Rhinolophus ferrumequinum: one gene and its partner. The protein of the gene in region 2 binds, or shares a complex with, the protein of the main gene of each other region. Links are inferred from orthologs where the notes say so. Each region holds a gene or a part of one and is shown on either strand. Other genes may lie near its edges.

Region 1 (3,756 bases), on a different chromosome or scaffold from region 2:
CTTCCTTTATACTCGCCAGGCATTTCCCCCAGTAAAACTCATACCTCTAATCCCATCTGGGGGTCTGCTTCTAGAAGGACTCAAACTATACACCTGCAGTTGCTGCCATTCACAGCACCTTCACACAGGATCCCGGGGAAGAGACCTTGATTTCCTGCAGTCCTCACGCTAGTGCCACACTCCAACACAGAAACTGTATCCCTGAAAACAATGACTTCTTAGACTTGCCCAGTGGAATAAAGCCCCTGGAAGCCAACAAGCCAAAGATGTTTCATAGAAACCATGGGTCGTTTTGAGATTTCTGCTTCCAGGTGCGAGACAAGACCCACCAAGGATAAGTACCAATGATATGAGAGAAAATGGCATGGAAGGCCACATCAATAAGGTACGATGTGTAAGAGGCCTTACCTTTGTCAGGCCTGAAAATATGACCCTGACTCATGCTAGAAATATCTGTCCCATTCATACAACACTAAACATGGAGCTGTACATTAATAACCAAGCTCTGAAAAGTGATGACACTATTCAACAGGGAGAAGACAGTTAGTTAGGTTAAGTACAAACAGCCAAAGCAAAAATCCTATTCCAAAGAAGTATGAGTAACCTTTTGTATGCACTAGAGAGAGTCCCACAACAGTACGAGACTCTGAGTCAGTTCTGAAGTGTGCGGTGTGACCTACTAGGTGTGCGAACAAATGCTCTGTTATTTGAGTCCCATAATGGCCCAATCCCAGCATCAGATGAGACTTTCAGTTGAAGGAATAGATGCGATTCTGAGGTCCATACAAGGGATTGTGTCAGAATTCAGCCACGCTGTATCACTTGCCCTAAATCATTTCTGTTCCACTGTTAATACTTAGGGAACGCGATACTAAATGATTCTATGAACCTACCCTTTTCTCCTAGTGACTGAAAAATCAGCATATTTTTTAATCAGCACTGTGATAAAACATTGTTATAAAATAGGACAAATCTATAAAATAGGAGAAATCTTTTAAATTAGAGTTTTCCTGAAATACTCAAAAGAGCAAAATAACCAAATGCTTTTTGCTTTGTGAGGTTTTTGGTTTTGGGTCCCCCCCCACCCCTTATTCTTGGTTTATGATGTTCGGCTCTTAAGGACAAAGAAGCCAAACCCACTTAATCTAATTTACCAACACACTGAAAGTAAATCGTAATCATACTTGTATTTTAACCAGGCATGACAACAAGGTGATTGAGTAGCTGCCCAAACTACCAGAGCAGCGGGCACTAACTTGCATAGACTGGCGTTAGATCAGCACTTCATAAATCGTGCAGGCTCCTGTCCATTTAGTGGATCTCTCTATGCAGACTCGGCAGGCTAACACTGGCTCTCGCAGCATTAAAAACCATCACTCTGCTAACTCAACTCACTGTTCAGACGGCCTTCTTGAATGCAGCCTTTATTACAACCTCACGGCTGCTCCCTTACTGAAGGAATACCATGTTTTTAAGTCAGGAGTTCTTCTTTCTCGCTTTATTGTAACTGGGGGTCTTACAACGACCCGCTACTGTTACAAAGCACAGTGCTTTATAACAGTAAAGCTTCTGGAAAACCCAAACAAAAGACACGTCACCCGGTGACGTCAGCCTATATACAGTTCTGTGTGGTCGCAGCACATAAGCAAATCCATTCTTGTGCCGTTTCTCGGAAAAGCTTTTCAGTAAATGCACTCATGCTGCTCCAGGAGCTCTTCTCTGCAACAAGCCGCCCATCTGCCATCAACAAGTTAAGACCGAGACAACTAACAGCTGCGGAAGGCAGAGACTGACGCTTTGATTAACCAGCTGAGCAGGGCGAAATTAATAACTTATATTCCGAACTGATTGAAGGGATCAGCGTGGTCACAGAAAATGTAACCAATGCTGTTGAGAGGAATATCCTAAGGAAAAAACAACTCACCCTGGTGGATTCAATTTTACTCAGAAAGCCTGGGACACAGAAAACAGGAAACTGGTGAAAGGCTCCAGCATGGAGCCTTTTACAGACTCACTGCGCTGAGTCTAACAACCACGACTGAATGCAGCCTCCAATGTGCTCAGAAGAATGGGTAAGTCCATGCATTTCTGTGTCTTGTACAGTCAGCAAGAAACCGTGCTTTTTAAAATAAGCCACTGAGTTCACCTTTTATGAGGGAAGTCACTGTCATTTTTTGGATTTTGAGCTTTAGGTAAAAGCATATATTGCTGATGACAGGACATGTTTTATCTTCTTTCTTAATGGTTTAAGTTTCGTTCCAGTCAGACTAACAAGGTTAGTTTTTCTGCAGCAAATGAAAAATAAGTGATATGCAGTGAAATCTTTCGCCATAATGTTTTTGTTTTTTAATGGCTCATACGTTTTGATGAAAAATATCCTATCTTCTTGTTTTCCTTAAATTATATTCTGCAGGCTTACATTTCAAGTGGCCATTCGGGGCCCCTATGCTGGCAGCAATATATGCAATGAGTATGGTTTTAAAAATGCTGCCTGCCCTGGGAATGGCGTGTCCACCCAAATGCCGCTGTGAGAAGCTGCTCTTCTACTGCGACTCTCAGGGCTTCCACTCGGTGCCAAACGCCACAGACAAGGGCTCCCTGGGCCTGTCCCTGAGGCACAATCACATCACAGAGCTCGAAAGGGATCAATTTGCCAGCTTCAGTCAACTTACCTGGCTCCACTTAGACCATAATCAAATTTCAACAATAAAAGAAGATGCTTTTCAAGGACTATATAAACTTAAGGAATTAATCTTAAGTTCCAACAAAATATTTTACTTGCCAAACACAACTTTTACCCAACTGATTAACCTGCAAAATTTGGACCTGTCTTTTAATCAGCTGTCATCTCTGCACCCAGAGCTCTTCTATGGCCTTCGGAAGCTGCAGACCTTGCATTTACGGTCCAACTCCCTGCGGACTATCCCAGTACGCCTATTCTGGGACTGTCGTAGTCTGGAGTTTCTGGATTTGAGCACAAACCGTTTGCGAAGTTTGGCTCGCAATGGATTTGCGGGATTAATCAAACTGAGAGAGCTTCACCTAGAGCACAACCAGCTGACGAAGATTAATTTTGCTCATTTCCTACGGCTAAGCAGTCTGCACACGCTCTTCTTACAATGGAACAAAATCAGCAACTTGACTTGTGGAATGGAGTGGACCTGGGGCACTTTAGAAAAGCTAGACCTGACTGGAAATGAAATCAAAGCCATTGACCTGACAGTGTTTGAAACGATGCCCAATCTTAAAATACTCCTCATGGATAACAACAAGTTAAACAGCCTCGATTCCAAGATCTTAAACTCCCTGAGATCCCTCACAACCGTTGGCCTCTCTGGCAATCTGTGGGAATGCAGCCCTCGAATATGTGCTTTGGCCTCCTGGCTGGGCAGTTTCCAAGGTCGGTGGGAACATTCCATCCTGTGCCACAGTCCTGACCACACCCAAGGAGAGGACATACTAGATGCAGTCCATGGATTTCAGCTCTGCTGGAATTTATCAACCACTGTCACAGCCATGGCTACAACTTATAGAGATCCAACCACTGAATATACAAAAAGAATAAGCTCCTCAAGTTACCATGTGGGAGACAAAGAAATCCCAACTACTGCAGGCATAGCAGTTACTACTGAAGAACACTTTCCCGAACCAGACAATGCCATCTTCACTCAGCGGGTAATTACGGGAACAATGGCTTTGTTGTTTTCTTTCTTTTTTATTATTTTTATAGTATTCATCTCCAGGAAGTGCTGCCCT
Region 2 (3,756 bases):
AGAGGGAGGGAGGGAGAGAGAGAGAGAGAGAACAGTGCAGAGAATCAGTGATATGGAGGGAAGGAGGGGTGATATGGAGCCTATGAATAGATACGTGAACAGAAGTGCGCCTCTGTGTCATCCATGGATGACAGTGCACTCATGGAACTTGTTGTCTTGTGTTGGTTACGTAGGCCAAAATTTAAATGTTTTAGTTTCAGGAAGGAAAGTAATAAGTAATTGATGCTGGTAATACAAAAATTGAGAACAAGCCCTTTCTGTACTTTCTGGTAGGTACATTTCTAGAGCAGGAGTGCTGTTATATATACAGCCAGATGATTACTAGTCTGGCTCTGTATGTTAGCTCTCATGCCCATAAGGACACTTATGGACATAGGCTATAACATAAACCAGAAACTCCCCAGAAAAAGCACCAGAGAGAAATCCAAACTACAATTTTTGCTCAGCCACTACTCTTGTTATTAGTCGTGCTATTTCATTATTTTGCTGTTTATAACATAGGGAAGAGTAGTCATATGTTCCTCTGCATTTGGAGGCTAATTGGGAAATGAGAGAGCTCCTTGGAAGACGGGCTCGTCCCACCAAATTACTACACCAAAACCTTATATATAGTACATATACTGGGGATGCCAAAAAATGTACACATTTTAGGAGATGTTACCTATGTATTACTTTTCAAAGTTGAATTAAGTACAGTAGCAATGTATAGCATGACATTCGCTCAAAAGATGGCATTGATCAAATGAATGCTAGCGTCATTCATTGTATTACAATTTGAAAACAGTTTTTTCCTTTCTTAAAATGTGTCTATATTTTTTTGGCACCCTCTGTATATATCACAAACAGAAGGATTATCACCCAGTGGTACTCAGGTTTAGGATACAACAGAATTTTATGGGGCGGGGGTGAAAGTTAAAAATTCAATTTCTGGGCTTCTTTCTTATAAAATTCCAATCCATTTCACTATTGGACTGGCCCAGGAATCTGAATTTTATTGAACAGCCAAGGTGATTTCAATATGTGTAGTTCCTGGAACATGATTATCATAAACACTAATAAGCTGACACGATATGAAAAGAGGTAAAAATTAGAAAACCTACATTAATTTTTCATGAGATTATAAAAAAAAAATAATGCTCTCATTGTAAGAATCTGTAGGTTTATTTATAAGCATATGGACCTATTACACATTGTATAATTTATTGAATGTAATTCTTACTCAGTTATAATATTTTTAAATGTAAAATAGTTGACATGATAAATTTCCCACGAGGTAAATAAAATTAAAGTCTCAATCACCTAAGCATAGCATTCACCAATTCTTGTCATTTTTAGCATATCAAATATATTCTAATCTAAATTTCCAAACTGCATAATCTAATAAAAGTCACTTGCTGTGAAAGTCCCATGAAAACTTAAAGAGATATAAAAATGCCAAGTCTTTTTAAATTTTTTTTGGCATTGTTTTGAATAGAACCAGGCGCAGTCTCTGGCCATTTTTTTTTACCACATAGTTCCCGTTAGCACACTTTCCTCTGCCAACAGATACAAGCAATAGTGAATAGCTGTCAGTCTACCCAACTGTTTTTCCAAGAATAGTTCTCGGACAACAGGCAACAGAATCACTTAGTATTTGTTATAAAATACAGATTCCTAGACCCTCCCTTACACATATTCACCCAGAATCTGGTTCAAGACGGGTGCATGATGATCATGGATATCTGTAAGTAAATAATGTTCAGTTTTAGAGTTTGAGATGCTCTGCATAAAGATGTTAAATCCTCTCATGAAGTACAACTGAGAGGGAAAAAATTAGGTAGCTTGAATTTCCACTGTATTTTCTGAAACTGTTAACATCTTTCAATAGTGTCAAAGGAAAGCCTCCGATGCAGGACCAAGGCTGGGGTAAGCTGAATGAGGCACTTGCCTTGGGTGTAAAAATTCAGGGGTGATTACATGATAGAAAATAAATAATAAAAGCAGGATACAATGCTGTGTCAAGCCACACTGAAACTGAAGTAAAATAATACTTAAATAAATTAAAATTCCATAGTATTTACATTTTCATTTTTTTGTTCACCATGGATATTTTGGGATTGATTTTATTTTTTAATAGTACACTAAAATATTGTTCATCTTGATAACTGAGTTTTTCAGGGCCCCACCCCCTTAATTTTTGGACCAAAGACAAATATCTCACCCTAGTTCTGGCTCTACTTCTCGGCGCTGTGCTGAATGAAGTTGCCCCAGTTATTTTAAAGTATATGGACATCCAAACATGATAAGTTTTTTCCCTCCATTACATCTCCTGGGTAAATATGTTTCTGCTTACAGGTAGTACCAATCATGTACACCAAAATAATCAGGTCTGTTATGTTTTCCTAAAATAAACTTACATTTTCCGAGATTAAGTGCCCTAATATATTTGATTTGGTTAATATATTTTTTAAAATTAACTAGCTAATGTACTAAAAATGAAACGAGGTAGGGAGGAGGATGCGTAAAGAAAAAAATCATACTGAACTGGAATGCCTGTGTCCAGGTTTGGGAATAAAGTGAAAAATACTGTGTTGATTAAATAATAGTTTTCCTCAAAGACTAATACTTTATTTTTTGGTTATTATTTTGTTCTATTTTATTGTTATTATTATATTTTTTTATGAAAGAGTTTCTCTAAAGAAAATACTTTTGAAGTCCCATGACCAAAAAGAAACCCAAGCCAAGTATTTGATTGCTTACTAAGTACTTGTTGTGACATGTTATTCATAGAAGCAGATTTTGTCATACTGGTTCTTTCACTATTGCAGAGTTTCACTATTGTCTTCATTAGACTAAAACAGCTTGTTTAAAACCTACACATTGCAGGGCTCTTTTGAAAATTGTTCAAACCTGGCATAGATTTGAGAAATAAAAAATAATAAGAAATCTGAAATATAAACTTAATGTTAGCCTTTTGGTCACAGTTAAAGGAGCCAGGGTTTGGTTAATTGTGGAAGTGGAAAAGTGGACCGATGACAGCAAAACATGTTGGTGATAATTTCTTAAAAGGCTTCAAAAGAAAAAGAGCAAATGTAGATGAACACAATTACCACTGGAGATGTTCACCAATATGTTAATAGAGAGTATCTCTGGAAACATGACTCAGGTGCTTTTAATGTCCCGTAACGTGCATTGTTTAATTCTTTTTCTATGAGATTGTTTTGCCTGTATACAAAATATCCTCATAGTTGTCACTTTCAAAAATGCATTCACATCCTAATGTTAGTGGGGAAGTTTTGGGGTTGGGACCTAAAGGGTATTTTTATTTTATTTTTATTTTTTGTATTTTTTGTATTATAAGGATTATGAGGCCCTGAATTGCATCAGTTTTATATAGTAGAATTTTCAAACACATTGCACATTGAAATTGATACTTTATTAAAGTGGTTATATTATTGTCCTATACAATGGTGGAGAATAGAGCAGGAAGACTATTTGAGGTCATTTTAACTTCACAGTTCTTTATTTGAAACGCTTTTTCAAAAAATGAAAGAGTACTACAGTAAACTTTCAAGACTTTTGCTGGTTCCATTAAGTTGCTGCATGAATGGGGTTCTCCAACCCAATTCCAACATGGAGGACGAGTTCCCCCGACACCAACAAACAATTATTGAACATAAATAGGGTATCAAAGAATTCAATGCAATTTTGACATTATTTACCTGGAAGCAGAATCAGATTCCCCAGGTTAAGAGCCCTCGCTCACCTTCAACACAC

The links. Proteins that work in one complex are often made in the same cells at the same time.
Region 1: the proteins of NRXN1 (region 2) and LRRTM2 are in contact, whole or in part, in a crystal structure (PDB 5Z8Y), measured with the Homo sapiens proteins. The link is inferred for Rhinolophus ferrumequinum from reciprocal best matches to the Homo sapiens genes NRXN1 and LRRTM2. Residues at the interface, in NP_001317021.1 of Homo sapiens: Leu139, Val158, Thr160, Arg236, Gln237, Leu238, Thr239, Ile240, Asn242; in NP_056379.1 of Homo sapiens: Asp343, His344, Gln346, Gly347, Glu348, Leu351, Asp352, Ala353, Gly356, Phe357.

Annotation. Positions count from the first base shown.
Region 1 is NC_046307.1:13,815,679-13,819,434, reverse strand, and holds the start of LRRTM2 (leucine-rich repeat transmembrane neuronal protein 2), read left to right. Parts: upstream 1-1,428; 5' UTR 1,429-2,042; coding exon of another isoform or gene 2,043-2,068; coding exon 2,069-2,072; intron 2,073-2,413; coding exon 2,414-3,756. UniProt on the Homo sapiens protein: Involved in the development and maintenance of excitatory synapses in the vertebrate nervous system. Regulates surface expression of AMPA receptors and instructs the development of functional glutamate release sites.
Region 2 is NC_046296.1:35,475,887-35,479,642, forward strand, and holds the start of NRXN1 (neurexin-1), read left to right. Parts: upstream 1-1,591; 5' UTR 1,592-1,723; intron 1,724-3,756.